Linked DNA regions of Drosophila melanogaster. The protein of the gene in region 3 interacts with the protein of the main gene of each other region in a pairwise test. Each region holds a gene or a part of one and is shown on either strand. Other genes may lie near its edges. The genes, in order: ApepP, CG14641, CG14708 and natalisin.

Region 1 (8,542 bases), on a different chromosome or scaffold from region 3:
TACTCAACGAATCCTTCCTTTCACTGTCGCTGAGAGGTGAAAACTGTGTCTCCTTAGAAGTCTTTTTGCCACCATACGGATGGAAAATGAACACATTGAAGTCGGCAAGGCAGCCTGTAACACTAAGTCCTCCAGTGGGTAGCTGCTGATCTGGTTGGGTATGACCTCCTGGCTGTGCTGAGTTCTCCTCCTCGCTGCTCCTCTTTGAACTGAAAACAATATCCAAACTTGGCAGCTGAAGCATACATTCTACTCTAGAAACTGGCAGACAGCTAAATCTGAAGGTAGAAGGTTGCATATGAAAGTAAACTATTACATCCACCGGAAATGAAGCATAAGTCACATAGTTGGCAGGCAGTATGTCCAGATTAACACCTGTGTTGTGGGAGGGAGTTGGCGGAACACTACTCGATTGCCGAGCCGGAATGGGTTCTAGAGTCTGCTCTAGGAATTCCAAAATATGGGGTGATATGATTGTTTCCTCTGGTATACTCTGTAAAGTCATCCAAGCGCACAAAGTTGCTCGTTTGCTGCCCATTCGTCGTCCAGTTGGCAACTGATCTCCGGTTAGTTGCTCGGCCAGTGTTTTTGACTGATAATGAAGTTTTACATCCAATCCTGGGATGTGGAAGATGGTGAGATCCGCCAGCAATGCATTTGCATTGTAGCGCAGCTTGCTCTTGTCCCTCTGCCTTCTCGAGGGAGTTGGACTGCCCCAATCGTTGCCTATGCTTTTTTCCCGCTTATGAGATTTTACACTTGAAGCTGGCACACCACTTGTAGCTGCTCCCGATCCACCAGCGTAGCCTCGCTCCTCACCAGTATCCTTCGTATGGAGCACGCATTTTCCAGAGTTCACAAGCACCTTAATGTCCAGTTCAAAATCAATGTTGGGTTCCGGCTGTTTCTGTCCATGTCCATGCTTGCGTCGCATTTCCACGGAGGTGCCATCAACATCAATCTCACTCGGCGTGATATCCCCTCTCCAATCAAGCTCATTGTCAGCTGTCTCCGTGTCCGTGTCCGCATTGGGCAGTGAAGTCTGGCGCATAGCCTCTGTGAAGGTGACTCGTCCAAGAGCATTAACTCCCCCTCCAATGACTCCTCCTCCTGTTGTATGTTTTAAGGAAGCACTGCGGGAATGACAGGAGGCCGGTGTGCTTTGCAAGCTAGATATCTCATCATTGGACGCAATTGTGTCCAGTCTTCTGCCAGTATAGCTAACATTGTCCAGTGTTTGCGGAACGCCAACTCCACTCACTGAAGATCCAGATCCAATGTAAGAATGCGAGCGACCGTAGGTCTTCAGGGACCTTCTCAGCGATGGTCTTTTCCACTTCTGAATCATATCTCTACGGAAGTACTTGTAGCAAATGGCTTGTAGCTCTTGGAGTCGTCTTTCCTCGTGGGCCACGGTATTATGTGATGCTCCGAGAGTACGCAGATCATTGATAATCTTCAGCTGTTCGGCCATCTCCTTCTCCATCATGAAGGAACGCTTCTTGGAATCGATTGTGGGATCAAATACAAAAGCTGGCAAATTGTCGAAGTCTCCTCTGCGCCGCACAAACGTATCTCTGCAGCTCTGATCTCCTTCATCGCTGTCCGGTGATTCCATTTGGGTCTCATCCTCTTCGAATCCCGTGAGCATGGTAAGAGTGTGGCCAAGAGAACTCAGCTGCTTGCCAATATTCACATCCAGGTGAATATCCACGCCCTCCATTTGCCACTTGACATTCAACAGCCACTTGGCGTTCTCACCCTTCTTAGCTGCTGTAGTGCGGGAACACACCTCGAAGGTTCCCTCGGAGACAACGCAAACGTTCATAATGGGCTCAGCGCTGTTGGGCTTCCAGTCATCTAGATTTGTTTCAAAATCATCGGCAAATCGCAGGCACAGACCCTGGAACTTTCCCTTAGACACTAAAGCTCCCGAGTTGCAAGCTGAGATAATCGTGTTCTCCAGCGTGATTACAACCGCGCCCTTGGCATCAAAGTCTTGGTATGAACGGGAGCCAAAGGTCTGCAAAAGAAAATTTATGTGGTTCAAATAATCTTTATATTACAGATTTAATTGGATACATACCGTAGTGTTGACCTGTTTCAGGGGCAAGCAAATGCCCATGTCCTCCACGGTGAGTTGCAGGAAGAGCGTAGACAAATTTGAGCCTGCAATCTGGCCAAAAGCCACGCGATCGAACACTTGTGGATTCTGCATATTTTGGTTCTGATGCTGTCCCGAATACTGACTAAGGAGACTGTGCTGAGCGTGCTCGTGGCAGAGATTCGCACGCTTCTCCGCCCAGTACTCGTAAGCATTCTTATAGTTAAGCCACACGAGGATCGCCTTGTCCACGGCAATTGGCTGAACGTAGACCAGTGGTCTCTTCAGGGTCAGCAGAATCAACTCCTTGTCTTCGTTGAGCAGTTCGTCTTGGAAAGCATTCCTCAGGTTAATGGTAGTGTGGAAAAAGGCGTACTGCTGGAACTCCGGCTCGGCCTCGTCGAAAATCACATTGCGTATAATCTGACCCAGGGACAAGTTGAAATCTATGTGAGCCTTAAAGAAGAGCTTACGATTGCTCATATCGCCTAGGTTCTTCACACGGTTAGACAGCTGCAGCTCCAGGATTCCGGTCTCGAATCGAACAGCCGAGGAGCAGGGTGTAGTAGCCGTCAATTGGATGCGTTTCATGGAAATGTTGATTGAGAAGAGGATGCGCTTAAGCGAGGACTCCTGTACTGCTCCGGAACTATCGCCACTCTCTTCCGTCCACAGGGGCACAGGTTTCTCTCCTCCGTAAACTTTCTGCAGAACCTCGTTGATTTCGCGCATAAACACCTTCTGCACAAAGACCAGATGGTTTAGGAGATCTGTGGTCAGGCAGCGCTCGAACTCGCCGATCTCGGCGCTGGCGTTCACGTAGCCACCTTGGCGCAGGACAATGCCCTCGACATTTTCCGTGTGATCCTGGCGGTGGTCTGGAATGTATTCCGCCAGAACGTGAACAGGTGGCAGGCCAATACAAGCTTCCGATGGAAGGTTCATCTCATTCTAAAAGGAATTACAAAGAAAAAACACATTTAATTACATCTACAACATTTTTTAAGATCTTAGTTGAATTCTTTTCAAATACTGTTGCTGAGCTTCTTTATAAGAGTTATACTCCTTTTAATTATACATTAAAAACATTAATATGGGATAAGTTTCTTAATGAAATATTTAAATTGTTCCCGCTACACTTTTAGTGTTACCCTTTTAGGCAAAAGCTAAAAAATACTGAAAGCTTGGAGGCGATATGAAATAATATAGTTCAGCATTTTTGACGTGCTATTAATTGCAAAATTGAATGTGTCAGTGCAAAAAGATTATAAAATATTTGCACCCTGTAGTTTAAACAATAGTTTGACAGCCTTTGTAAGTGTGACACTTATATTCGCCCGATTATTTATGTATTTATGGGATACAAGAAACTCGATTACGGTTGATTATCTTATCGCCCCAACTGGACTACAAATTCTGTGTTTTTTTTTTCGCTCAGTTATTTTGCTGCCATTGAGGAACCACAATGAAGAGGAGCACCACCCAAATTCTGACCAGGTTGAGGGAGCTAATGCTCCGCGCCCAGGTGGGCGACTCCTGCGGCATATCGGCATACATTGTGCCCTCGGACGACGCCCATCAGTCGGAGTACCAGTGCCAGCATGACGAGCGACGCTCCTTTGTGAGTGGTTTCGATGGATCCGCTGGCACGGCGGTGATAACGACGGAGACCGCACTGCTGTGGACCGACGGTCGTTACTATCAGCAGGCGGAGAAGCAGCTGGACTCCAATTGGGTTCTAATGCGGGATGGTCTGAGCGCCACCCCGTCGATTGGCGCCTGGCTGGCGAAGAATCTGCCCAAGGGCAGCTTTGTGGGCGTGGATCCTCGCCTGTTGTCGTTCCGCGTATGGAAACCCATCGAAACGGAACTAAGCTCCGCGGAATGCCAGCTGGTGCCCATCGAAGGCAACCTCATCGACGAGGTCTGGGGTGAGGATCAGCCACCGCAAACCTCAAACAAGATTATAACCCTGAAACTAGAACATTCTGGCGTAACTATCGCCAAAAAATGGGACGTGGTGCGCCAGCAGTTGAAGGAGAAGAATGCTGATGCCCTGGTGGTCAGTGCTCTCGATGAAATCGCTTGGTTCTTGAACCTACGCGGCTCGGACATTGACTTCAACCCCGTCTTCTTCTCCTACTTGATTGTGACCAACGATGAACTACTGCTCTTTGTGGACTCTGGCAAATTGCCCACTGATTTTGTGCAGCATCAAAAGGAGAACAATGTGCAGATAAGCGTTTTGCCTTACGCCTCAATTGGCATTGAAATCAGTAAGATTGTGTCGACCAGGGAGTCAAAGATCTGGATAGCACCCACCAGCAGCTACTATCTAACTGCTTTGATACCCAAGTCACGTAGAATTCAGGAGGTAACGCCGATTTGTGTGCTGAAGGCCATTAAGAACGATGTCGAGATCGCAGGCTTCATCAACAGCCACATTCGCGATGGAGTCGCTTTGTGTCAGTATTTCGCCTGGCTTGAGGATCAAGTGAATAAGGGTGCGGAAGTCGATGAAATGTCTGGTGCCGATAAACTCGAGTCCTTCCGGTCGACAAAGGATAAGTACATGGGCCTTAGCTTCACCACAATTAGTGCTTCGGGACCCAACGGCTCTGTTATTCACTATCACCCAAAGAAGGAAACCAACAGGAAGATAAATGACAAAGAGATTTATCTGTGTGATTCCGGAGCTCAATACTTGGATGGTACTACGGATGTGACGAGGACCCTTCACTTCGGTGAACCCACTGAGTTTCAGAAGGAAGCCTACACTCGCGTTTTAAAGGGCCAACTGAGCTTCGGCTCCACCGTATTCCCAGCTAAGGTTAAGGGACAGGTTCTTGACACTCTAGCGAGGAAGGCCCTGTGGGACGTCGGTTTGGACTACGGACACGGAACCGGCCATGGAGTAGGTCACTTCCTAAATGTCCACGAAGGTCCCATGGGCGTAGGAATTCGACTGATGCCCGACGATCCTGGTCTCCAGGCGAACATGTTTATTTCCAATGAGCCTGGTTTCTACCAGGACGGAGAGTTTGGCATCCGTGTCGAGGATATTGTTCAAATTGTGCCAGGCCAGGTGGCACACAATTTCTCCAACCGAGGCGCCCTCACATTCAAAACCATCACCATGTGCCCGAAGCAAACGAAAATGATTAAAAAGGAACTTCTATCGGATGCGGAAGTAAAGCTGCTCAACAGCTATCATCAACAAGTCTGGGACACTCTTTCCCCAATCCTATCTCGCGAAGGAGACGAATTTACTCTGTCCTGGCTCAAAAAGGAAGTTCAGCCCATTTAATTGCATTTTTAACCCGTTATTTCGGTCATCTTTAACTAATATTCTTTCCCATGCATACACTTACTCTTTTCTCAAGACTAAAATATTAAAAAAAAAATGCTTTTATATACCTTTTAAAAGGGCTTATCTTAAATTTGTACGCTGAACAAATATTATGTAAAAAAAAAAAGTTTATAAATGTGTAAAGCTCACCTGAATTTTGGTATTAAAGCTGAGCGTGTGCGTGGGTAGGTCGATAACAAACTTTGCCCTCTGCCCAGTTACTCCCATGGAACTAACATGATTCATGCGATACTGGGCCTGCAGCGAAGGAAGTAGCGCAGCATTGATGGACAGACTCTGCAAGAGCACATTGAACTGCATGACCAGGGGCTGAAGCAATCCATTCTGGTGCTGTGCTGTGCCTGTCTTGGATTGCGCCATGTGTGCTGCCCGGCGAGCCGCCTGTTGCGGCTGCTGCTGGGCACCAGCTCCGCCGGAAACAGTGCGCTCCCGCATTTCGCTGGCCACTCCAGTTCCACTGCTGGCTCCAACTGAGTTGCGGGCATGGAACGGAGACTCAGGCTCCTCGGCGGTATGCGAACGCATCGTGGACCGACCAGAGTTACGCTTTACACGCAGCTCCTGTAGAGTGGACGACAACTGCTTAGAGCTTCGAGTCATCATTCCATGTAGGGCCACCGGATGTTGCGGAATGTCTATGTTAACAGCACCAATCGACAGCAGGCCACTGTTCTTATCCTTTCCACGCTTGGAAAGGCTTGAATAGAGAGTCTGGCTCTTACCCACGGTTACCTTTACTACGGTTCTGAAATGAAATACAAACGAGTTTGAATACCAATCACACAATCAGAAAATCAGGCAAAGTAGTGCTTACTGTTGACTGGGAGCCACTCCTTCGAGCAGCACAATCATGGCTCGTCCCACTTGACCAGTAAGGGAGCATTCCAAGGAGACAGGACGAGCCTTTTTCCTCCAAGTGGCTGTGCTATTAAGAGTGGTGATCTCCGATTCCAACTTGAGGCCAGAAAGCGTGGCCAGCAGGCGAGTCTTGTGAATCTTGGCCACACCGAAAACTATCAGGCGGGTTCGTTCCTGAGATGAAGCATCTACCAGCAACATCTCCCTATGTTGGGGCAGAGGTGTTGGTGCACTGGCCAAGTCATCATCGTCGTGCGCAAAGCCCGCAGACTTGCTTTTGTGTTCGTTCAACGAGCTCCTTTGGACCACAGTCTTGGTCTCCGGCATTGTACCATACAACTCTAACAGGTGGTAGATGGTCTTCCAGCAGTTGGGTGTCTCTAACATCGGCGCCATCGTTGGCATTCCAGCTTTGGTCAGCGTGTTCTGGTAATCCCCACTGACACTGGTGGCACAAGCACCATTCAACGAAGCTTTCGACTCCGTGGACATTTTGAGGATATTATGTTCGTGGAGCGACATTGTTGGACTATCCCTTAGTGGCGATGAACTGGACTCATTCAAATTCGTGTAGCCCAACTTGCCCTTCACGGATTTCCCAGTGGATCTAAGTTTTTGGGCGAAGCTCTGGGGTCTGTTCTTGGCATTTGGAGAAGGTGTCAGTTGAATAATTGGAGCCAAGCCTCCGGGACGCGGTCTTGCCAACATTGTGGGCATCGTTTCGTTGAATTTGTCATAGCGTTCATCTGAATAGTTTTCAGCATGGTTATAGCGCTCGGACATCGAATTAAATGGCACGATGTCTGTGGGCTCAGAAGCTGAAAATTAGAATGATTAATAGGTTTAAAAATACAGTTTGAATGCAGTGATCGTTAACTTACCCAAGCTGCACTCGTCTTTGGTTTGGCTCTTTTTGCTTAGCTCAGGCTGATCGTGAAACTCGTTCTGGGCATCCTTTACGTTTTGATACATATTGCAGATCTGATGTAGCAGCCTCAGCAGCGGCATATTTACCTGAAATCCATAAAAACATTTTTATGTAGCTTATGTGCATTTTAAAGTACAGATTCTCCACCCACCTGCTGCGAGATGAATCTCACATTTAGACTGAAATTGATCACAGTACTGGTGTGCTTCTTTAGCTGGCGACGCGACATATAGATAACATTCTGTCGCGCCTGATCCACCATCCCATCGGACATTTTTAAGACTTCCAACTCCACGCCCACTCGCTCGCATAAGAACAAGGGGGTGTCCATCATTATGGAGGCCCTGCCGCCGTTTGATTTCTTGTTCAGTTTGGCTGGCTTTTGGGCAGAGTTCTTTTTGTCACCCGCCTCGCTGACCACAATGTCCACCCGAATAGAATCAAAAGTGCCGATCAAAGAGAGATTTGTGCCAAAGTTTTCCAGCGAAGAAATGTCTGCGTTGGAGAACTTGTTGATCATTTGTTGTGGCATCACTCCCAAGCAGGTGAGAAGTGGTTCAAAGATCAGATGGGCATCGAGCAGCTTAATGGAATCCTGCATTATGCCACTGCGTGTTTGTCCTGCATGTTCAGTCATTTTCGGAGGAGCTGGGCGTGCGTGTTCCTTTTCAGTGAAGTGCTTCTTTTTGTTGTCCTGCTGTTTAGCCATCCAGAAGTACAAATCCTCCTTGTGGTTCTCGGTTCCCAGCCAGGACTTGTTTACCGAGTTTGTAGAGCTCAATGAACCCTCTTGCAATGCACCGTATTCTGATGAGAACATATCATGAAATCACTGAGTGTTCCTTATGATTAGTATTATAAAATGTACTTACCGAATTCCGGAACCTGCCCCGAGATAATGGGCAGCATCTGAATGCTGGAACGAGACGAATTGCCATGTGAATAGTTCGAGGCTTTGCTGTGGACTTTATTTAAGCTGATGCACACGGATGTTATTTGGAGAGAAGAACAGACCACAAGAACGACATTAACGAGATGTATTTGATGAAAATAAGCAGGCAAACATTTTCAACTTACCCGCGCCGAGGATGATGTATATTTGGCGAAGTGGAAGTAGATCGCTGGGAAGCTGTTCCATGGTTGGCACCCTCATGACCATAAGTAGCACCTGTGGGAAAAAAAAGTTAATAGAGGAATAGGGGTTTCGTATATTGGACAAGCACTCTTCAAGAAAGCACTCTTCTGGATAAGTTGTACACTTAACGAAACAAAATATAATATG
Region 2 (7,947 bases), 7.3 Mb from region 3:
ACCCTTGGCGTGGGCCGGATTGCTGCTTGCCCACGCATGGTAGTCTTGTCCCACTCCTATTATCTGTGAGCGAAATTGTTCATTGCTCATTGTTTTGTTCTGGGCATTAAATTGCCTACCTTGCCAGCGTCGTCCACTGCCAGGAATCCTCCTTCAAAGGACTCAAACTCGCTGAACGACTTGGTGTGCACGACAGTTCCAAGAAACACGGTTGCCATTGCTCTGATTTACTATCAGCGGGCTTAAACGTGCTGTACGACAGACTTGAGAATGTAATGATCAAGATCCGCTGAACAAGTTTTAAAACTCTCGCCTAGGTGCACGCGTCGCCCTGCGAATGTGCGCATAATCATACGGGGATGACACTTACTTTTTATTTCAAGGTTTAAATCGCTGGAAAGATTATTCCCAATCGTTTGGTCGTTACTTTAAATATTATTACTTATTACTGTTTTAATAAGCGATCGCTTGCACACGTGTGATTTATCGGTAAAAACTACAAAACAAGCAATAATTAACTTCAAAATAGCTGTTGCAAAACCATTAATTGTAAAATTGTATATTGGAATGAATATTGAAAAAACATAGAATACATTAATCATATGTTTAGCTAAGACAAAACCCCCTTTCTGGAAGTAAAGAAGAGTAAGAGTGACGGGTAAAAGAAATATAGCCATTATATAATTTACAGTTAGTCTAAGATTTCATTAGAATAAACATATTTGCACTGCTCGCACCTGTACATATGTAACCTTTACCTACCCTGTAGTCCCACAATTCATCGCTATTAAAAAATATTACATCATCTCTCTCTTAAAATTTTAAAGCGATGCTAATGTTCTTAATCATAACGAGGAATAAGCGATGATTTTGAAAACAAATTCATCGCTTTTTAATTTCTAACCGAAGGTCTCAGTATGCGATTTTTTATTTAATTGCAAATTTAAATTTAAATTTTAAATTTGTAATGTACATAGAACATGTTTGCAGATCACTTGCCTATAGACTTTTGTGAGAAGTAGACGCGATTTTGAGTGCTTGTTTTAAAAAAAAATTGTAAATATTTTGGAATTTAATTCAATAATAATTACAGGTAATGGATTTATTTTACAATAAGCAACAAACACTACTCACAGAAACGATAATTTAAGGTAAATTGGTTTAACTCGTTTTTGTATACATAATTATACATTATTTTACCTTAAGGTAAATCGGACATGTGAACTGAAAAGAAGCTGGTCCTAACTCCGTAGGACAGGACGCCAAAGACTCTGGAATTTCACATACATATATATGTATTTGTATTCTTAAATTTAAATCCTATGCATAATTTAAATAAGTCTAATTAAGAAAATACATTTTTATTAATAAATGACTGAAATTTCACTTTTTCATTAAAATTGATAGAGGATTAAGTGAATAAAAAGAGGTGTAGAGAGATGAATTGAGCTATCATTTATAGCGCTTATGCGTGATTTTGATTTTGCGCTATGCGATGATTTCCTAGAACATAGGTTCAGGTCATGGTTTTTTTTTTTAATACAAATTAACCTGTGATTAATTTGATCGAGATTTTTAATGATCAGTAATGAGCTGATGAAATCTGAATGAATGGAATGCAGGGAGGTAGTCATAATCCCAATGTTAAGTTCCCCTATAAATACTGAAGAATGAACTTACATATGTACATGTGCATTGGTGTACTTTTTTTAATCCCAAATATCGTCCAAATCAAAGAAAAGCATTTATTAAAGGTAAAAACGAGTGACGAACGCACATCAACATACATATGTACAAAAGTTTTGATATAAGCTTTTGTGACGAAAATTTGTTCTTTTTTTCTTTTTTTTTTTAGAGTTTAAATCATTTATTATTATCTTCTCCTCTCTAATTGTTTGGTGTTTTTTCTTAACAATTCGAATCGAAAACAATTTCGTCCATACGGATAAATTCTATTAATATTAAGTCATTTTTATGGAACTGACCACTTTAAAAAGTTTGTATTTAATTTTATAAAAATGATTTATTGAATTGGAACCATTGTAGACCACAGGGTTTTCCTACTTTTTAACAGCTCCCATCCGACTGGCGTCCTGACTTGGATACGGTACTTGACCCGGTGGCGGAGGAATCGATATGGAATCCAAATTGACACCCGAGGAAGAAAGGGCTGTGGAAGTGGCGTTTCCGTAGGGAGCTGCATAAGTAGGCTGACCATACATTTGGTAAGCCGACGCCGGAACTAGATTTGATGGCAACTGATGCAGCTTCATGCCGGCGGGCATGACATTGATTTGCTCTTGGCGAAGATTGAAGTAGTCGTTGGGCTTCGCGCTAGGCGGTGGAATGCCGGCCAAGTCGAAGCGTCTGTCTGTCTTTGCAGCGGTGCCCTGCTTTGCCTGAGAGTGAGCCCACTTAATGCTCACCTTCCGGCCCTGGATCACCAGTTTATTAAAGGTCCGCTCAGCAGCCAGCTCGGCAGCGTTTCTTTTGGTGTATTGCACAAAAGCGCACTGCTGGCGTGGCACCAGCGCAATTGATCGAATTTCGCCGAACTGGTAGAACTGATCTCGCAGCTCGGGTTCCGTGATTTCTTCAGGAAGGTTCCCCACATAGAGAGTTGTGATGTTGCGGTCCTCCGGCGGCTCGAGTGTGGGAAGCGAGGCTGCACGCTTCATGATCTTCTCGGCCACAGGATCGTTGCGTCCGTAGTACCTGTCCTTGATGTTTTGCTCACATAGCGGATCGTCCGGCTCGTTGGGCTTGTCGTGGCGGTATGGGCACTCCTCTCCACGCTTGCACTCGCCCTTAACCCAAAAGGAGCAGATGTGCGGCCGATTTCTTTTGTAATAGGGTGCTGTGCGCGCAAGCTTGGACAACATCTCGTTGGCGGCGAGGGATCGACCGACAGCTCCTGCCGCCTCCGTGCCATCTCCGTCCTGCAGCTGGGCGTCTATGTTTTGGATGTAGTATTCCTTGTTAACGTCGCTTTGTGGCATATTGTCAGCCACTTTGAGCGCCGCATCTCGTACTTGAATCGGCAGTCCGTACTCCAGGTCCAAGAGGCAGGTCTGACACACGTTCTTCAGGCGCGCACACGTTTGACATATCTCCGTCTTTTTGAAGCGCATACGAGCACCAGGACACCATCGAAATATTGTGAATGGACGCGTGCATATCTTGCATTCCTTGCCGAACCGCTCTTTAATCATCCGCACGTACGGATTGTCGCCAAGGCAAGTTTGGCACAGAATTGGGAATTCAGCATCTTCCCAGTTCTGCCGGTTATAGGTGTTAGTCGTTTTTGACATAGACATAGCAGCGGCACTTATGTACCTTGCACTTAAAATCCGAGCTAAATTTAGACAATGCTCATTCGCTTTCTACTTGTCGAAAATGGTGGTGTGTCGCGAGTGATATACCAATATCGATAAGTTGAGCCAGAAGCAGACAGTTAGTTCAAAGTCAGCAATCGATATAATTTATTGAATTTAATAGCATATTCACACTGCTTAGAATATATATCTATACCCAAATGCACACAAAAATATATTGCATTCGACTGATCCGAAACCGATCAATACGATATTCTACTATTCTGTACTATTCATGTTCGCTAACCGTTTAACAGAAATGTTCCTGAAACACTTTTGATAGCACGCATAAGTTCATATAAAATGTTTCTGGGCGATTTACACAGAGTTTTTGGCACTTTTAATTCCGATGTTCGCAGTTACGTATTCACTGCGCTCTGACCACTTATGTTATTCAATTAATTATCATTATTTACGAACAGCACTTTTGGCCCTGCTTTAAATATATTTACTAAGTATTTTTACCTGCCTGTTATATTTCACCAACAGTATGGCAACCTTCGCGCTAAAAGTTGCATTTTTCACGTTGCTTGGTTTTCACAAAAAAAGAAAGACTCAATCTCAAACTCAGAAAACCAGAGCACCTAAAAACGAAATCGAAAGATTTTGCCCAAATTGAAAAAAAAACTATTATCCGGTCTGCATGCCATGAATATATCATAAGCAAGAAGCTGTCAGTGGAATCACTGTTTAATAACTGTAATCGATACCCATTAGAATATAGTATTTTTCGGGCTCGCCTAATTTAAAACGTCGTACGGTGGCCTTTGTTGTAGTCAAATTAGGCGAAAACGAAACAAACAAAAATCAGAAATATAGATCGAATGCTATGGCGCACGTAAAGCGGTATCGGAGGTCGTCTAAGTCCTCGGAGGAAGGCGACCTGGACAACGAGGACTACGTGCCATACGTACCGGTGAAGGAGCGGAAGAAGCAGCACATGATAAAGCTGGGCAGGATCGTGCAACTGGTTTCGGAAACGGCCCAGCCCAAGTCGTCAAGCGAGAATGAGAATGAAGACGACTCGCAGGGTGCGCACGATGTCGAGACCTGGGGACGCAAGTACAACATTAGTCTGCTGGACCAGCACACAGAACTGAAGAAAATTGCCGAGGCCAAAAAGTTGAGTGCCGTCGAAAAGCAGCTGCGAGAGGAGGAAAAGATTATGGAGAGCATTGCTCAGCAGAAGGCCCTTATGGGTGTGGCAGAGTTGGCGAAGGGGATTCAGTACGAGCAGCCTATTAAAACAGCTTGGAAACCGCCGCGTTACATTCGGGAAATGTCGGAGGAAGAGCGCGAGGCCGTTCGCCACGAGTTGAGGATCCTAGTGGAGGGAGAAACCCCCAGCCCGCCAATTCGCAGCTTCCGGGAAATGAAGTTCCCTAAAGGTATACTTAACGGCTTAGCGGCCAAAGGCATTAAGAACCCGACCCCAATCCAAGTGCAAGGCCTGCCCACTGTACTAGCCGGCCGCGACCTAATTGGAATAGCCTTCACTGGGTCTGGAAAAACGCTTGTCTTCGTGCTGCCAGTCATCATGTTTGCCCTGGAACAGGAGTATAGTCTGCCTTTTGAGCGTAACGAGGGCCCCTACGGCCTGATCATTTGCCCGTCCCGCGAACTGGCCAAGCAAACACACGAGATAATTCAACACTACAGCAAGCACCTCCAGGCATGCGGAATGCCTGAGATTCGTTCCTGCCTGGCCATGGGTGGTTTGCCGGTCAGCGAGGCCCTTGACGTCATCTCACGCGGCGTACATATTGTGGTGGCGACCCCTGGTCGTCTAATGGATATGCTGGACAAGAAGATCCTTACGCTGGACATGTGCCGGTACTTGTGCATGGACGAGGCTGACCGCATGATTGACATGGGATTTGAAGAGGACGTTCGTACGATATTCTCTTTCTTCAAAGGCCAGCGACAGACACTTTTATTCTCTGCCACCATGCCAAAAAAGATCCAGAACTTTGCTCGATCAGCTCTCGTGAAGCCTGTCACAATAAATGTGGGTCGCGCAGGTGCTGCGTCAATGAACGTCACCCAACAGGTTGAGTACGTTAAGCAAGAGGCAAAGGTGGTATATTTGCTGGACTGCCTACAGAAGACCGCGCCGCCCGTGCTCATTTTTGCTGAGAAGAAGCAGGATGTAGACTGCATACATGAGTATCTGCTGTTGAAAGGCGTGGAGGCGGTGGCTATTCACGGCGGAAAGGATCAGGAAGAACGATCGCGGGCAGTCGATGCTTACCGCGTGGGCAAAAAAGATGTGCTGGTGGCCACCGACGTGGCATCGAAGGGCCTGGACTTCCCTAACGTGCAACACGTTATTAACTACGACATGCCGGACGATATTGAAAACTATGTGCATCGTATTGGCCGCACAGGTCGTTCCAACACTAAGGGATTGGCTACGACGCTGATAAACAAGACTACCGAGCAGTCGGTTCTGCTCGACCTGAAGCACCTGCTAATCGAGGGCAAGCAAGAGGTCCCGGACTTCTTGGACGAACTGGCACCTGAGACCGAACACCAGCACCTGGACCTGGGTGACTCGCATGGCTGCACCTACTGTGGTGGTCTGGGCCATCGCATCACGGAGTGCCCAAAACTTGAGGCTGTTCAGAACAAGCAAGCTTCAAACATAGGACGTCGCGACTACCTATCTAACACCGCTGCGGATTACTAAACCACTACCACCACCAAATTAAAATAGTAATAAATAGATTAGTATACATACATACTTTTCTGGGAACTTTTAAATTTATTTTCACTCTGTTTTAAGTTCAGTTTGCTGCTTATCGCACGAAGCTTTGCTTATCAATCGTCCCAGCAACCCCAGAGAGCGATCTCGGCCGGACGCGCGCGCGTTTCGGGCTTAAGAAAAATATTATAAAAGCGAAGACGAGCTTTGGCTTTCGTTTAGTGTCTGAGGCAGAGCTCTGCATGCTTGTCGTTCGAAGCGCTTTTATTCAATCATCGCACTGGGATCGTGAGAAATTGCGCAGATCGTATTGACTTACAAGTAAGTGTGCCCCAAAAATTAAATGATGTTTTATCAGCAATATGTAATAACATCGCCCAGAATAGTAGGTTACTCTAGTATAAAGTAAAATTCAGACTAGCCTAAATGATTTCAATTGAAGGCTGATTATATAGACATTAACAACTTTCAAAGCTATTATTTTGCTGAGTTCATTTCGTTAAATTGGTCGTTGATTTGTCTTATCTACTGCTTTGAAAACAATCATCGGAACTGAGGTCGGTTTTATATTAGATAAGCCACTAGCTTTTTACCAAGCTGTGTGTTCTTGAAAAAATAAATTCATAACACTGTATAATATGATCAAATTAAATTGATGGTACCTACAAAATTTGGTTAATTTATCTCCGTTAAATTATCCCCAACTTCATTGGCATTTGGATTGGATTTGAATAATTGGATACACATTTGAATGTTTAAATGTTACCCATGCGCGCGGTTTGTCCAAGAATCCGTTTGTATGATTTTGGCACTGGAAAATGGGTAACTGCCTTTATCCAACCAATTCAAGCTGGTCCAACTTATGGCCGGCTTCGGAATATTATTCCGAACATGCTGTGGCCCATCACTTTCATTTCAAATAGGTATCATTTCGAAGTACGTATGACGTACTCCTGACTGGCTCCCAAGCCTTTACAAATTGGAACTAATGTGCTTGCCGACATAATTTAAAAATCTTATATGATTCCATCCCATACTGAGTTCTCAATAAAAACTGATTTCTTTTTTTTTGGCTGTGACCCAGTTGCAAGGAAGGGCCAAATGGGCTTGCCGCTTGACGAAAACAGTCGTGATCTCATACGCAGGTGAAACTAATTAACTGAATGACAATATGCGATTACACGCTTGCGGCACTTTTTTTTTGCTCTCCTTAACATTATGCTCTGATCAAGCAGCGCACTCGAGATACAAACATGATATCATACAAGAGAGGAGCTGGTGAGCAGAACAACTTTTCGGGAAATATTAAGTATCATTTAGCATTCTACAACTCACATTTAAGAAATCCATCAGGAAGTTTAGCTTAAACGAGTTTGGGGAAGCTCTTATTGTTGAAGACAATTATTATTATTTAAAGACGTTGTTTTCTGGGTGGCTGTATATAACATACGCGTACTTGTTGGCGGTTAAACATCAGTGCTCAGCGATTCGTTCGAAAATATTAACATCTTTCCTTCTCTTATTGCCCTGATGATTCTCTTACTTGCAGTTTCCACACACTCTGCTTAAATCTGGAAGAGCAACTGCCGCTGTTTGAACTAGAAACCAACGCTACGACAAAAATAAAGGCCAATACAAAAGATCGCGTACCCAAACACATCGGGCATATACGCTATTTGCGACTCACAGATACTTATCGCAACAATAAACAAAGCTCCTCGGAACCCTCGGTCGTCGACCAGAGAAGAGGCAGACTCGAAATGGATGCCTCCGGCGCCGCCACAATGGCAGTCCTCTCCAGGTAATGCAAGCGAGCAGTTCGCTGTCCAGAAAGCTCTGGGGTGATAAGTACTCAGTTCCTGAATTTTA
Region 3 (6,913 bases):
AGCCAAATATAAAACTTATACCGAAAAGGGATTGACGGATATAAATGGTGATATGACCTAAGGTCATTTGTATAAAATTAAGTTGAACATCATAAAAAATAACACACACACACACAAACACAACAAATGACAAAACTTGCCCGCAGCTAAAAGTGGGCGTGGCCGGGAGGGGCCATAACGCCCTACAGTTATTTCGGAGCTTAATCAAAAGAAAAAAACTTCAATTCGATTTACAATAAGCCGGTCGGCGTGGCGCGTACAAACCGGAAAAAGAAAAACTAAATTGTGATTCTTACAATCGGCGAGGGAAAGTTTTCATTTATTTTCGACCCCCCGCTCGTCCGTTTCCGCTTTTCCGTTCAGTCGAGCCTTGCCTCGCTTTCCTTCCATCTTTAATAAACATTTTTATGCCGTATGCTAATAAAGATTCTGCCTCTCGTCGCTGTCTCTTCTCTTGCTTTTTTGGGGGCCCCAGAGCTATTTGCCGAGCTGCCGAGCTCCTCCAGAGCCCCTCCCCCCCACCTACCACCCATCCATCCACTTTTAATATCCAGCCACGTATGTCATGGTAAGGAACCATTAAACACAAAACACAACGGAAAAAGTGGAGTGCGGCGATGGCGGCGGTGGAAATGTAGAAAAGTGGAAATGGAAAAAGGGCCAAAGAAAAGCAAAGCAGCGAAAAAAAATTATGCCCCAGACGCCGCTGAATTTTAAATGAGCCTTTATGGGCTTCATTTCAGCGTGTAAATTATCTCATTTGTCAGCAATTGCGCTGTGTGCGTGTGCCCCCGTATCTATGTGTGTGTGCGTGCATGTGTGTGTGTGTGTGTGTGTGTGTGCAAGTTCTAGGCTTTATAGTCGTGTATAGGGGCATATAGTGCCCCTGTCCATATGAGACATGTACTCAGCCATTTGTAAAATGATTCAATGACGTCTCCTGGCATTTAATGAGATAAGCACTCGCTTGGCCCGATAAGATTGCGTGGCATGGCAGCAATATACAAAACGGGTAGCATATAAATACGATATTTAAATATAGATGTCGTTCATCATAGAAGCAAAGGAGTTGATTCATTAATTCCGAGACTCCACTTGAATTACAGCCAAACGATGTCTTGTTTTTGGGGATTAACTTTGGCGCGACGTTTTCTTTTGTTTTTTTTTTTTGTTTTGTTTGTGCCACTGAAGTTTCACAATTACCGAAATGGCTTATACAAAAAAGTTCGTTTATAAACCACTTAGATGTGACATCCAGAATAAAAGACAGTACTAACATATTTCCAGTGAGTAGCAAAAGTACCTTGTAAATTGTTTTTATCAGCTTACAAGCTACTTTGACTTAAATCCCTCCATGTGTCCCTGCTCATTTGGATTTTTAGCCATTTTCCACGCTATCTGCCATATGATGGGTGTATCTTTAGAGCACTTTAAAAGATTTAAGAGATGTGTTCAGCAAATTGGTTTATTAAAAAGCTTTGAGTAAATATCAAATGAGAGATGGAAAGTTAAATTAACTTATCTCTTTATTAAATTAGGATTAAAAAGTAGATTCGAAGTTGTTATTTACTTAAGTTCATGCTTACAGCATGCTTACAAAGCACGATCGTAATACTTTTGCTGGCCATGATAATCCTGTTATGATAAGTGAAACAATCACATTCAAATGAATTCGTATTTGACTTTTGACCAAGAGTGCGGAGTGGCAAGTGCGGAGGGATGCCTGATTACTGGCCATCTAAAAGTCAAAACTTTCGGTTGGCAGTAGCAAGTGGATGCAACAGCAAGTTGCGACCGCTGATTGCATGTCGCCTTGGAAAAGCTGAAAATCGTGTTTCCGTTTTCGCTCGGCCAAAACCGACTTTAATAGCAGCTCAAGTGGCGAACGAGAGGAACTTTTTTTGTTGGTTTTTAGTTAGTTTTTTTTTTTTATATTTACTTTTTCCGTTTTTCTTCTCTTTTTTCAAGGAGGAGGGCAATGGAAATATGAAAGCTATGTTGGAAGGAAAAACGGCTCTCAAAAGGATGAGAAGAGGAGCACGCCATTCTGCATTGATGATGCTGCAGGTTTTCCTCGTATTTGGAATCGATGATGTGTGTTCCCGAATTTTATGAGACAACCTTCGCACACGCTGCCATATAGTAAATTTATATCCGCTCGAACAAAGCCCGCGCCAAGGGGATCAAGCTGGAGGAGCTGGGGGGGAGCTGGAGTTACGGTCACGCCGGGCCGGAGACCCAGACCCACCTTTTGACAAGGGCATAATTAAAGCATAACAGCAACAAAAAGCAGAGTGGGCGGGGGCATAGGATACGTTAGCGCCGCCCACTTCGTCCGCGACGAATACCCACCAACTACGGGGTGAAAACAGGTTGTTACTTCCTTGCAAACAAGGTTCCGTTACCGTTATGTATACGGCCACATCTACATCTGCATATATATGCATGTCGGTGTGTGTACGTACTACGTACTACGTAGCTATGTAGCGTGTGTATGTGTGTGCTACAGTTTTGGGAAAAAATATAATAGCGCTGCAAATGAACATTTTATTATCTCACCACTGGCGCGCACACTTAAGGGTTTTTGGGGCTGGGTAATATAAACATAAATAATTAATTATGTTTTCTTATGCACCATAATAATGTGCCACGGAAAACGCTGCTTAGAAACTAGGCAACTAAATTTCAAGGAAAATTTCTTAGCAAGTTTTGACAATATATTTCACTTTTACACTCGTTTCGAGTATAAATTTCTTGCGGTTGATAAACAGATTTAATTAAGTTTCTATGTAGTTATTAAGACAATTTCCCAACTATCTGTCACTTGAAAGAGCAACTTTTAGCAATAGAACCGCAAGTATGAGCATCTATAGATTCGATTCAATGTTTTCGACTTTCAATTAAGAAAGTTGAAGTGACGAAAGTTGCGATTGCTATTCGGTTGACCGCACCTGTGGGCACAGTATGTGTGTAAGTATGTGTTGCTGTGAGCTTGGCGTATAAAAGAAAGCACGTTATTGCCAATTTAACTTACATTGTGCATGTGTCTTTAAACAAAGATTTATGTACCCACTTGCATGCACGCCGTTGCCCAGAACTCGTTGCTCCAGACCCGCGATTCCTGTGTAGCATATATTTGGGGGCGCGATTTTCGGGGGCTGAGCTCCTTTCGCTGTGTTGGTGAGGTCAGGTGCTCGGGCAATAACTCGCTATGGATGGGTATATGTGGGTTTGGGTTTGGGTGTGGGGTGCCCACTTAAATCAGCATAATGATATGCACTTATTATTGTGGCAAATTTGTTGCGGAAGTGCTGCGAAAACCGCACAGGATGGGCCCCAGTTTCAGGAGTTTCCTAGTTCCCAAGCCAAGATCCTCCCAACAGGACATGCTTTTCATAAATTAAAATCTAGTCAGCCTATGTTTAACTTTCGCACTCAAATAATTCGTCTCAGTAGCCTCTGACTTTGATCTCGGCGCATTAGTCACAAATCAGAAGTTGACAAAGTCGGAGCTGAAAAAGAAAAAAAACCAAATATAATCCTTTACTATAGTACAGTTAAATATATAGTGCAGTATAGCAGCATATCACTAAAATGGCCGAGCAGCATTATAATGCAAATGATTTGGCTTCCGATCCAAATTCGCGTAAATTGAAGTTTGCCGGCATTTGCAAACTAAATAATAACGAGCTGTCGAGTCTCTACAATATCGACAAGTTGACCGACGAGGAGCTGGCGTCCGTGAATCTGGATAGGAGCTCCCTGATCGATGACTATCGTCTACTGCACGAGGTGTCGCAGATGAAGCAAATAGAGAATGAAGCAAATAATATCCCTGCTGCTGCTCCAGCAGGACAACCAAAATCCAAGGAGTTGCATGAGCAATTCGTAAAAGAGATGGAGAAGTACCTTACCAATAAGAAGTACACATTTCCGATGCTCAACCATTTGATCAAGTTAATGAGTTGGGAAGTGGAGCCGGAGACCATTTTCAACGAAAAGGCGTTTCAGATTGATGTCAATTACCATGAGGACGAGGAGGTAATGCAGCTGGAGCCCAATGAGCGTCTGTTTCGTCGCCTCAAGTCCATCTACGATCATCTGGAGGACATGTTCATCAACGGCAATCGCAGAACGGCCTCCGACCTGGTCTTCACCGCAATTATCCGTTTGGTCGACCGCTCTAATGTGGCAAAATATAAAATCATATAATACAGCAATGCTATAAGAATGCTGAAGTTTCTTACAGCTAATAAAAAAAATATGTAATTATCCAACAGATGTTCGTTAAGGGTTATGATTTTCACGATAAACGTGGCCAAAAGAGGTGGCAGGTTCAACTTCTCCTCAACCGCATGTCGATGTCGATTTCTTCATTTGCCTAATACGAGTCGACGCCATCATTAATCTAAAATATGGCTCACATACACGAACCCACTCCCACGCACACGCACACACACACACACACCAAGGCGAGCATGGCGTGCATGTAATTATGCTGGAAACAGTGGCGTGGAAAGGGGTTTTCAAGGGTGGAAGAGGGGGCTAGGTTGTCCGGAATTCGAGTGAGAGGAAGCAGTCACATTGCCACCACAGAGACACACATTTGCGTAAGCCTTGTTAATCGTGACAAAAGCTTATTGCGGGTTATTTGGACTACTTGTTTCGCATCCGGCGCTGGCACAACGAAAATCAACATTGCCACATGTAAATACATACATACGCACACTCACACACACACACGCACACACACATATGACTGCGCACAGAGAGACAAAACACCCAGTATTTCGTACGCAAAGCGGTTACACGCAGTCAGGATTTGATTTCATGTTCGCATGATTAAGGATTTTACGTCGGCCCAGCAGAATGTTTGAAATAAAGGGCTTATGAATTTGCAAAGTGGTTTCCAGCATAATATGCTAATTACAAAAATTCGGTTTTATGTCATGATCTGCAGCAGGCCTTGAAATTTGTTGACGACATGGTAGTATTCAATAAAGATGTTGCTGAAAGTCCACATAATTCACTATACTAATGGCTTAACTGTACTTTAATACTTATCCCTAATTATAAGGAAATTAACGAAATATTTGTTTTGTATATTTAAAGTTAATTTATTATTGACTATATATAGTGTGACAAGTTTCTTTGCAGTATTAATTATGATCTTAAGGTTGGATTGTACTTGAATGTGCACGTTGCTCATTTTGAAATGTCAAACTTCTAACCCTGCACCCATTTTTTCTGTCTGTGTAAAGTTATGTGTGCGTATTGGCCTGTCGGTTGGGCCTGTCATCCAAAAGGGGGAAAGATACCAAGGAGCATGGAAAGGGGGGGGGGGAAAGGAGCTCGCGTCACTTGCACACATAATAAACATTTTAAACATTATTCTCGTGTTAAGCAGCTCCTTGGATTGGTGCTGCCACGTTGCTGCTGTTTCTGCTTGTGCTGATGCTGCTTCTGCTGCTGCTGCTGCTGTTTGATGCTGCTGCGACTACTGCTGCTGTTCGTTTTCGGTGAAATTTACGGGTTTCAACGAATAATGGTGCATGTGGGAAATGAACGTTTTGTGTTCGCTTTTGCCTGTCATCGCAGCCACGCAGCAGAATCCTCGCTCGCACAAACACACTCGCACATTCCGAAACATTCGCCACTTTATCAGCATTTTACTTTAGCCGTTATTACCAGAGATCCACTCACAGTACATTAGCACACCCACACAAATCCAAATCCACATCCGCATCCTCATTCGCACCCAAGCCACCCAGCCACCCACCTATCATTCCACAATCCTAACAAGAACACCACTACATGCGAGTCCTCCGCACGCATGTTGTTAGTCTCAACGAGGTTGCGACTCTCCAAGGAAATTAAAAAACAACTAAAACAAATTAACAATATAATGACAAAAGTCTTATGTGAACTGTGGCCGAAGAGAAGCCGACGATGCCAAGATTTGGAGCAGATGAAGTAGGCCTAAGACGAAGTGAACGCTGAAATGGAAAAGCACGGCGGGAAAAACTTGAGTTATAAGCAAATCCAAATGCTTATATTAATGCTATACAACTAAATTCACCGCATAAGAATACAAAACTTTAAAGGCCTAAAGACAACTTGAAACTCCTGGCCTTTGCAATTTGCTCGCTCGCACGAATTATTTAACTATCTATTCATTAATTTAAACACCTTCAACTAGTGCTGCTCCCAAAGGCATGGCATTAACAATGCATAACATTTGCGTGGGAATATTTTTGCTGTGTGTAGGCAAAACTGAAGAAGCAGTATTAGGTCTCGCAGCTAAATGGCAAATCAAGCATTTGCACAAAATTGAATTACCTACCCAGGCATCCGAGTTTGCAGACCCATTACGACAAGTCGAGCCACCGCATCCACCTTCCCCGGGACGAGTTTCCCCGCCCAATTTCAAACCACCCCCCATTCTTCATACATCCATCCAGTGGCTGAAACCGCCCACGTTAAGTATACGCCATGGATTCGGGGCAATTGGCACTTTTGCAATGGGGCAAACCGGGAATGGCAACAGCAATGCTTTTAATGATGATCGATTTGGGTAAACAATGAAATTTCCGCATTCAAATTTTATTGCTGGCAATCAGCGAGGCTTCCTGCTCACAAACGCACACACAAATGTCCATATGCCGGATGAGGATATTTATAAACGATGCGCTTTAATATTAATCTATGGCGCAACGCCTGTTTGCTGTTTGTCGGCTAAATTCGCAGCGCAGTTGAATGATGCATGTCGTCGTTGAAATTAGCATATAACATGTACATTATCGTATCGTGAGTGTACAATAACAGGCTGAGCAAACAAGTTTAGCGATTTTGTGATTAATTAATTTTCTATAACGGTCGTTGGGGTTTTAAATTTTCGCAGTGGGACCAGGCT
Region 4 (9,600 bases), 2.9 Mb from region 3:
AAGTCCTAAACAGATCAACACCCATTTGACTTGCTTTTGAATTGAATTGGTTAGCCTGTTTTCCAAGTGTAGTTATGAAATGCGTTAGTGGAGGCGGTAATCACCGCCTGACCCATTTAAGACGCACCGAAACGAAACGAAGCGAATCCATGACAGGCGATGGCAACTCGTTTTTTTTCGTCGCGCTTCCTGCATCAATTAGCGCTGGCTTTTGCACAGATTTTCCATAATTTAACATGGACAAGCTGGCTGGATGAATGGAAAACCGACTGACTGACTGGATGTGGCTGAGTTTTCCCGTTTAAGCAGCCATTAATTGGCGCTCGTCAGCATCGACTATGCGGCTAAGTAAGCTTAATGCATCAATCAAGCTTTCAGCATGACAACGTGTATAAATATTGCCTTTCTGCCATTCGAAAATCTGATAAATCTGGCGCACCGTTTGCGTGTGTTCTCAAATGATTTTAATTATAGATATTGACAAAGTGGCGATGAGAAATTAAGACGTAAGCCTGCTGCTGCTGCGCCCAGGGATTGTTTTTTGGATTTAGTTTTCAGTTTTTCGATTTTTGTAATATTGTTTTTCGGTTTGGGTTTGGCCAGGTCTGGCTGGTTCGATGAACCCACGAAAAGTATCTGCTTTAGCCAATTATGCGAATGCTGTTAATGAATGTGGGCGACGACTTGCCTTAGGTTTATCTATATGGCTTTATGCAATGGCTCTGTCACTTGGCGAATGCGAATGCGACTGCAAATGCGACGGCGCAGCTGCCTAGAGAAAGTTGTCTTTGCCCAATTTGCAAATGACGTTTTTTTGTCAACGTCAAACGGCGAACGGGCCAAAACAAATGGCAATAAAAGGCAGCGCCTGCCTGCACGTTACTATTTTTGTCAACCAGGAGTTGATCTCGCTAAACCGAAGAAAATCCCACAGGCCTCCGAGGATGCCAAATGGAGTTAGAAAATCATCAGTACAAAAAAAAGACAGAAGAAAGACTGTGGGAGAAGCTGAAAAGCTGAGAAGCCGATACTTTGAAATGAAAGTGAAGCGACAAAAGGCTTCTAGCATTTCACCGGCAGCAATCATAATTGCAGACAGCAATTAAGCCGCTGTCACAGGCTGCCAGCTACTCATGCTGATCGCGTTACAATTGCAGTTGCAGAGTTGCAATGCAGCAGAGTTGCAATGCCGCAGAGTTGCAATGTTGCAATATTGCAGCGTTGCATGTTGCCAGTTGTCAAGTTCGGCTCGCTGACAATGCGTTGATATTTTCCGACAAGCAAATCAGCAGCCAGCGAGTCAAAATAAAGTAAAATAAACCAAAGGCCTTGCCACAAAAATTGAGCCAATTTGCTGATGCAAAATCGAAGCTTACAACTGGGAATCGCATTTCTGCGGTGAGTGCACTTCTGAGCCCGGACTTTCTTTTCCTCTAGCCACTTGCCACAAGTGACACAAAGTAGCCTGCTGCTCGATCTTAGGAGTTTTGAATTGAATTTTTACAATCCTCACGCCTGACACAGGATTTGCTACCATGATTGCCTAAGTTGTACAACTAGTTTTAATACTCTTTACTGAAATATAAATTAAAAGCTTAGAAGAGAATACAATAAACAATGACCAAATCAACTAAATAACCATCATGACCTATGTGTAAAAAACAAAAAAAAATAAGTATTAGTATGGTTTTAAGATACACCTATACAAATATTTACAAAATTCAAACAATCGAAGCCACTGCTGCCTACACTCCACCTTTTGCCAATAAAACTGAATGCAGTACTTAAAGATTTTTGTTTTGAGTTATGTAAGAACGGTATGCGAGGGCTTCTGCGGGATTTCTACTGAAGCTGTCACAGCTGTTTAGCACTAAGCTTACCTAACTCAAACTGTGCCCTCCACGAAGGCGTACCTCTAACTCGATTTCAGCCATTCTGGCTTTGAAAAAGCTGCACGTGAGCTAACCACTTCAAGTGTCATTGCCCAGCCGAGAGTTGAACTCTAAGAAAATGTATAGTATTTGTGGACAGGCTTTGCTTGCATTCTTCCCAAACCAAACATAGATACACATATATGCATATACACACTCCATATGAAGTGCCATTGAAATTATAATGATCTTCAGGGGATTTCGGACCGATCGCTCGGACGTCAGGCTACCAGAAAACGAAAAATAAAGAGGCCAAATCGAGATGGAGATGGAGCAGCACATGGGTACGATATTATTTAACCAATTTGTTGTTGCCCGCTTTTGGATCTGGCTATGACCTTCAATGGTCATTTGTTCAAAAACAAAGCGAGCTGGCAAAAGGTCCGCTGGCTTACCAAAAATACAACACCAAAAAAATGAAAAAAAAAAGAAAAATATTTTGACGTTGATGTCGATGTGGTCAATGTCAATGTCAGAAATCGGTTGAAGTGGAAAATTTCAGTTCACAGTGGCTTACAAATTCAGTGCTTCTCCCGCTTTTTGTTTAAGGTTCAATGCTTGGCTAATAAGCTAAACTCGCGTGATTGATGTGCGTTTTGGGGATTACATGGCCCTTGTGGGGCTGACCTTTGCAGTCGCTCAGCAGCTGTTTTCGGTTTTCTTCTGCCGGACTTACAAACGGCTGCAGTTGTTCTACAATATCTGTGTATCTGTATATCTGCCAGCATATCTCTGATGTGGCATCAACTGCGTGCCACGCCCGACTGTCTGCAGCTGGGTTTCAGGGTTTCTGCTGCTTCAACGGAGTCAAGACTCGATGCTGGGCACAATACTGATTGCATTTAGCGATAAATTAACCAATGAATACAATTAAAATAGGAATACTCGCACTGCAACAACTTTGCCAAGGGCAACGGGGCGAGACCTTCGCAGAGAACACGGGAAAAAATACAAGTCAATCGATTTTAGAAGAAATTCTAATACGAATATGTGTGATAAAAATATAAATATATAAAATTAAATTAAATAAATATTTTTTTTTTAGGTTAAAGGCTTTAATCAAAACTTAAGTGCTGACCTAAGGACTCCTATACCAAGTTAAAAGATTTTCTCTCAGTGTGGTTCTGAAAAAGCGTCCCCAAGGGCAATGTAGCCGATCAACCTTCAGTTCGCTACGAATCGATGCGATTTCTCTCAAAATCAATTGCATGCTGTACTTTATTGTGTGCCATATAGTTGTGTCTACATGAGTCGAGGAAAACAGTGCCCCAAGCCGAAAACTGAAAAGCCAAATAAATCCAATCCGAAAACGAAATTCGCTCGCCGCATTTAAATGTTTAGGTTGTCCGTATCGGTGACCAAATGTGGATTAGCCGGGTGCGATAGCGTTAATTGTGTCTCGTGGGCATCGTTTGATTCGCCCGGGGCCAGGATGGATCTCCGGAGGCGCTCCTCTGCCTGCCAGGATGAGGTTTTCACCTGATGCTGCTGCTGCTGCTGCTGCTGCTGGCGCATGTTCGGATTGCCAATGAAGCGGACATGTGGCAAGAGCAATTGCTGCCGCAGATCGGCTGACATTGATCTTGTCGAGTGCAATCTATTAGCGGGCAGTCGCCAAGAAGCCAACGATGCAGCAGCATCCTCCACTGACAGTGATGGCCTGACTGATTGATCGTAACCATTAATTTTATGCGTTGACATTCTTAGCGGCCAGTAGTTGTTGCTGTCATCTGGCCATTTTCCACCACCCGCCATCGTCTCACCCAATTTCCCGGCACTGGCTGTCAAGTGCCGCTTGCCGCGATTCGGAACGAATGGATCGTCGGCGTTGTAAAGATCCCGGAGCTGCAGCTTCTTGCCCCGGGTGGCAAAGAAGGGATCGTCCACTTGGAAGAGGTTGCGATGCTTTTTGCCGCGATGCGGATAGAACAGGTCGTCATACTTGAACAGATCCTTGACCTTGTCGCGCTTGCCGCGATTGGGCACAAAGGGTTCGTACCGGTTCATCAGGGCGTCCAGATCCAGCGATCCGCTGTGCTTGCGACCTCGAGGCGGTATGAAGGGATCGTTCTCCTTGCTCATGTCTTCTGGAAAAAGTCAGTCGAGTTATAGTAGATTATCCATAGTGATAGCAGTTTCTAAAATACACTCACCTCCAAATTGATAGCCATCGAAAAGCTTTTCCCTTCGTACCAGCACATACTGGGGCTCATCCACAATAAGTGGGGGTTCCAGATGGCCCGAAAGATTTAGTTTCTTCCAGAGAAACATTCCTGGATAGTAGTTCTCGGCAGCTCCATCGCTCAGATTGCCCAAAGGACGTTCAATGGGATACAGGACCTGCATGGCCCAGTGCAGAAACTTCATCAAATCCTGTTCGCCAGTTAGCAGCATGAAGACCTCGTTGTTGCTCTGCTCCTCATCGTCGACATGTTCCTCCTCGGAATCCGAGGAGGAGCTGGCCCCAGAATCGGAATCCTGCATCGAACTCAGCTGCATGTGGAGGCGGGACAGCGCCTCTTTGTTCCTGATGGTGAGGAATAATAAGGGCTTACGGTTTCTATACTCTGATTAATGCCCCATCATTTGTTCGCTTTAAGGAACAGCACATTTTCACATTTTTCTCTTTGGTCTTGAGCGTGGGTTGCTGGCCATGGGTTTCAATTACCCTTGTTGGCCAGAGTTTCTCTTTTCAAGAAATTAACTGAAGCCGACGACACCAAATTGATGAACTTCTTTTTCCCACTCACAACTTGTGACCCCAATAAAAAAAAAAAAAAACGCCTAAACTCTTCGCTTATCCGAGGCTGTCAGGCTGATCCGATTCAATCAAAAGTCAATTTGAGGCAATTCCACAGAAATTACTGTGTAAAATTACAAATTAGACGAGCAGCAACAACAATCGAAAGTTATGCGGGCTCATGGTTAATTAATCAAACATTTAACAAATCAACAAAGAGCAAACATAAGCGAACAGAAAACAATAATGTTAAGGTCCCAGCCCTGAGATGATTAATTCGATTTTAATAGCAGCGCCCAATAATTTTTCAACACAACATAATATTCCGCTTAAATTACAAGCCGCGGCAAAGAAAGGAAAGAAATGTTTTAAAATAAAAACAAAAGCTGGGCGAGCAAAATATTTCTCACTCGCCGAAATGAAAAGTGAAACTCGTAATGCAGTTTTCGTTTCGATTTCGTTTCGGGGCAATGAATTTGCTGACAGTTGTTATTTTATAAAATAAATCAACATACGTGGCGGCGGTCTCCTGGCTCTGACTTGAAACAAAACTGCAATCGTCGGTACTGATTTTTTCACGCCCATTAATTGGTTTTGCGTGTTCCCAGTCGACAGCCAAATTGTCGACGATTTGTAGCCCCTCTCTCGAGAAGGTTAACCTTTTTATTTTTTGGCAGAGCCTGGCGCCCTGAAAAGGGTTAGCATTAACCCTCTTTTTGCCAAAGGTGTGGGTTTTCAGATTTATATGTTTTAATATTTGCCAAAAATAACGTTCAGATATCCGTTAAGGAACAATTAATATTGAAACCATAACTTTTTCAAAAATGTACAACTTTGGGCCTTAGTGGGTTAAATTGATACTTTTGCTGCCAAATCGGTTTACATGTAAGGCGGAAACGAGGTGCTCAACTTTCTCGACTTTCCTTCTGTGCAGCCTTGAACCTGCTGGCCAATCTCTGGCAGCCACTTTGCCACCCACATCCTGGACTCCTTACCTGGCCGCCAGCATGGTGCGATAGTATTCCTGCGGACACTTGCTGGTTCCAGATCCGCCGGATCGACCCTGACAACGCTGGCCCCAATACCGATGAGGGGGCGTGGTGCGATAGTTGTTGGGCCCCAGACCCAGACCCATGCCCAGTTCCATTCCCATTGCAATTTCCTGCGGCGCTGATTGCCTGGCCCCTAAATCATATGCGTTTCGATTAAAATCCTCAGAGCGCTGCGCTGCTGGTTGCTCCACATCGGACAGGCTAAATTTTCCAGAATCCATGGGTCCATTGCCATTGCCATTGCCGTTGTGCATCATATCGCGCAGTGCATCGGCGGGGCTGTCAAACAGGACGCGTGCATCCTTTTTCTGATGCTGCTGCTGCTGCTTCTGCTGCCGTTGGTGGCTCAAGGCCGCCTTCGTGGCCGTGGCGATAAGCGATGGTGGCAAAGATAGGACCACATTGCCATGGCCATGGCCACCGCCGCAATAAATCGCCAGGCAGAGGCTGAGCCAGGCCAACGTGAGCCTCATGCTGTCTGCCGCCTTGGTCGGAGGATCGAGGAGCGACTTTGGACACAGCAACTCCAACTCCAACTTTAGTCTCTCGAAGTTGTGCCAATTTTTATTTCACTCCACTCCAGCCTCGTCGGCCACTTTGAAGAAGCCAGTTAGCCAGGCGGCCAGTCCGCGGCATCCGCTGCGTTTTTGGCTCTTAGAAAAACGGAGAGACTGAAACTGAAAGTTGCTGGTCAGCGGTCCAGCTTTTTATAGCACGAGAACGAGATCCAAAGGCCAAAGGAGCGGACCGCGGAGTTTTGGGAATACGCCTGCTTGTCGCGCTCGAAAGACCCCTGGTCACATATGACAACACTTAGAGAAATTGGAATTAGAAATGAAAAGGGCCTTTAAAAGATCCAGGAACTCATTCATATCAAAAGAACAAATATTATGTTTTCACAGTGCATGATTCCTTGGCATTGCCAATTGTTTGTCATATGCGTCCTAGCATGAAATTAATAAAAAGAAATTGCATTGTACGGCGTCGAACTGGGAAATATGGCGACCCACTTGAGATGTCCCCAAGCCAACTCTCTCATACGTCACAAGTTGAGTTCGAAATCAACTGAAGTCAGTTGAACCAAACTCGATTGGTGTGTCCGGCTCTGTTTGCCTAACCTGTGAACCCAGAACCGCCTTCACAAATTAGCCAGCCAACTTCTCGCCAATGCCCGAGTGGCCCCCGTCGATAAGATCTTAGAGTATGCGGCTTTCTTTCAAGCCCCCAGAAGCAATAGACTACCTCTGAGAATTTATTGCCTGCTAATGCTCGATCGCATTTGTCTGTGAGTTGCCCTTCTGGCAACAGGAGCAGCCACGAAAAAAAGGGAGAAAATTGTGGCAAAAGGGGGAAAAACAAGGGCTCGCAAACAAAAACACAATTGTTGAGTAATGAGCACTGCACGTTATTAATGTCACTGGGGATGCGGGAAGAAGGGTCTTCGGAAAGGGTTCTATGGCAACAGGGACCAGTTTGTTGGGTTCTCTGGGTCTTGGGCCACGATTTTTAATTAAGTAATTCGCTGACTTTGTTAGCCCTGTGGGCTCCATCTGTCTCTGATCTTCTCTGGCGACCATACGGAGTTCTCTTCCAGTGCTTCTTTTTTTTTTGGTTTTGGTTCGTCTTTTTTAGCTGTGTTTAATCTGGCTAACAAATTGCTTCATTTCAATTTATTTGCATTCGAGTCGTGTTTCGCTGGGAGTTCGTGGCTGCAGTTTTCTGTTTGGATGCGAGTGTGGAAAACCTTTTTCTGCCTCCGCGGTCGTGTTCTAATTTATTTGTCTTTGATTGTGCCCATGTCTCTCCGGGATGTCTCCTGCGGTCGTGTCCTGGCCTTTCTTTTTGTCCCTGTTTGCGGGCCAAATTAAGCAAACATACATCATAGTCGGGGGCCATTAGAAGAAGGTCTTTGTGGACGCGAATGTGGCGCTTTGGGCGCGATTAATAGACCATTGCCTTGATATATGTGCGCAATTAGAGCGCTAATCAAAACCTAATCTCCGCCACAGTGCGGAATTTATGGGTCTTGCATACATGGACAGAAAACTAACAACGAAGGGGATTAATAGGTGGACTAGGAACTGCTAAATGTAAAATAGCATGTCTAATTGTTTGTTTACCGATTGCTATATAGATGAGCCAAAACATTACATTTTTAAAGCAAAATTAAATCCCTGATATCCATTATTTCTCCATGTGCACCTCACTAACAACTGCCATTCTAATTTCAGCGGGAAATCAACGAAGTCTTCGAGCTGCGCAAGGTCCAGCGTTTGGAGCAGCAGCTCCGTGAGCAACTGGAGGAGCGGCTATCGCAGGCAGGAGTCCAGCAGCTTGATGAATTGTCTCGTTCCACGGAATCAGATAGCGGCTTTGACAGCAGCAGCACCACAGCAACATCGGGCACACCAGCAACAGCAACAGCAGCAGGAGCTGGAGCAGTCACATCGGGCAAGCCAGTGACAACTAAACTAAGGGCACTCCCGCCGCCGCCCCTCAGTCCCACCAAAACCACGACGAACTCCATGCCCACTCCACCTGTCCAGGCGGACGATGTTAACATTTGGGCCTGCAAGTTCCTACGTGATCTGGACAGCCTGATGGCCGCCGGTGATAAGCTGCCCCCGCATTTGGCGGCCCTGGCCGAAGGATCCGGTTCCGGTTCGGCCAGCAGCTCGCCCACCTCCAGGACGGCGCCCATCCTCCTGTCCGCAGCTGCCTCGGCGGCCATACAGAGTCGACTCGGCAAGGGCTCATCATCCATCATGGAACATCAACTGCAGCAGCAGCAGCAGCAACAGAACGGACTCGTCTTGAAACCAGAGAAGCACGTGAGTACACAGTTCAAAATACTTTGTAAATAAGATGTAAGAGGCAGCAGACCCACATCTTCAGGGATAACATCCTTAAAAAGTTTCGTGTATCAAATTCAGTCTACCTCAATTTCATTCAAGGGATTTAAAAAATATTGAAGCTCTTCGCATAATTAGAGCTCAGCAGCAATTTTACATACACGTAATCTATGCCTATTTGCATAACTTTTAAATTGCAAATTACCATTTGAAATTTCGAAGAAGGTTAAACCGCTGGTGTATGCATATGTTCTGCAGCTTACGCTCAGATTTCCTAATCTCAAATCTCTGAAATTCCCGTGTAATCTCTGGTTGCCTTAATTTCGACATGCTAGCGAGCAAACAGCGAAGCATATTTTATGAATGTGGGCTAGATAAAATGCGCTCAAGACGAAGGCATTTAATCTGAATCACAACAATGTTGTCAACACACACAGGCGGCAGCAACACAAACTTTGGGGGCCCACACACACGGCATGCCCCCAAAAAGGGACCAACTTCCCCCAGAAATTCGGTGAGTGAGGAATGTGTTCTTTCAAGAACTGCCATATGTTCCATCCATCCGTCCATCCATCCATTTGCCGGATGCGCAACTGAGGCGCGTGAAATTTATGGGCAACGGAGTAGAGGAGTCGGAGATGATGATGAGGATGAGCAGCAAGATGAAAGTGGGGGCCACTGAATTGGTCTGTTGATAGACAGTCGTCACTCGGTGGCTGGCACTTGAACGAGTTAAACTTTGAACTGTTTGAATAAGATAGACAAGTAGGCAAGTTTTATAGGAGTTGCATTTTCGGGGGCTTCGCAGCGCCATAAAATGTATCATAAAATGCTCTAATTAGTGCAGTTCTTACTCAGCTTTAGATTGAAAGACAATTGGAGATTGATTGCCGAGCATAGAGTCGTAAAATATTCTCTAATTGGAATCGTAGGGTCGCGGAGGAAAAAAGGGCAAAGTTTATGAAGATGCTGCAAGTTCAACTCTGTGATAACCCAAAAGGAGCTGTTGCTATTAGAATGCCTTG

What was found.
Region 1: the proteins of CG14708 (region 3) and ApepP interact in a two-hybrid assay, tested with the Drosophila melanogaster proteins (one large-scale study listed by BioGRID).
Region 2: the proteins of CG14708 (region 3) and CG14641 interact in a two-hybrid assay, tested with the Drosophila melanogaster proteins (one large-scale study listed by BioGRID).
Region 4: the proteins of CG14708 (region 3) and natalisin interact in a two-hybrid assay, tested with the Drosophila melanogaster proteins (one large-scale study listed by BioGRID).

Annotation. Positions count from the first base shown.
Region 1 is NT_033779.5:16,905,185-16,913,726, reverse strand, and holds ApepP (aminopeptidase P), read left to right. Parts: upstream 1-3,308; 5' UTR 3,309-3,418; exon of another isoform or gene 3,419-3,542; 5' UTR 3,543-3,569; coding exon 3,570-5,411; 3' UTR 5,412-5,498; downstream 5,499-8,542. Other genes in the region: tweek, read right to left, coding at 1-2,023, 2,087-3,055, 5,604-6,219, 6,289-7,150, 7,214-7,346, 7,412-8,067, 8,133-8,236, 8,338-8,428. UniProt on the Drosophila melanogaster protein: Catalyzes the removal of a penultimate prolyl residue from the N-termini of peptides, such as Arg-Pro-Pro.
Region 2 is NT_033777.3:4,228,926-4,236,872, forward strand, and holds CG14641 (uncharacterized protein), read right to left. Parts: upstream 3,418-7,947; 5' UTR 3,318-3,417; coding exon 2,061-3,317; 3' UTR 1,854-2,060; downstream 1-1,853. Other genes in the region: DhpD (dihydropterin deaminase), read right to left, coding at 1-63, 120-218; abs (abstrakt), read left to right, coding at 4,204-6,063; Gel (gelsolin), read left to right, coding at 7,839-7,879.
Region 3 is NT_033777.3:11,550,595-11,557,507, forward strand, and holds CG14708 (uncharacterized protein), read left to right. Parts: upstream 1-3,550; 5' UTR 3,551-3,594; coding exon 3,595-4,212; 3' UTR 4,213-4,275; downstream 4,276-6,913.
Region 4 is NT_033777.3:14,415,388-14,424,987, reverse strand, and holds natalisin (natalisin), read right to left. Parts: upstream 6,396-9,600; 5' UTR 6,197-6,395; coding exon 5,667-6,196; intron 4,459-5,666; coding exon 4,085-4,458; intron 4,019-4,084; coding exon 3,261-4,018; 3' UTR 3,133-3,260; downstream 1-3,132. Other genes in the region: cv-c (crossveinless c), read left to right, coding at 7,955-8,554.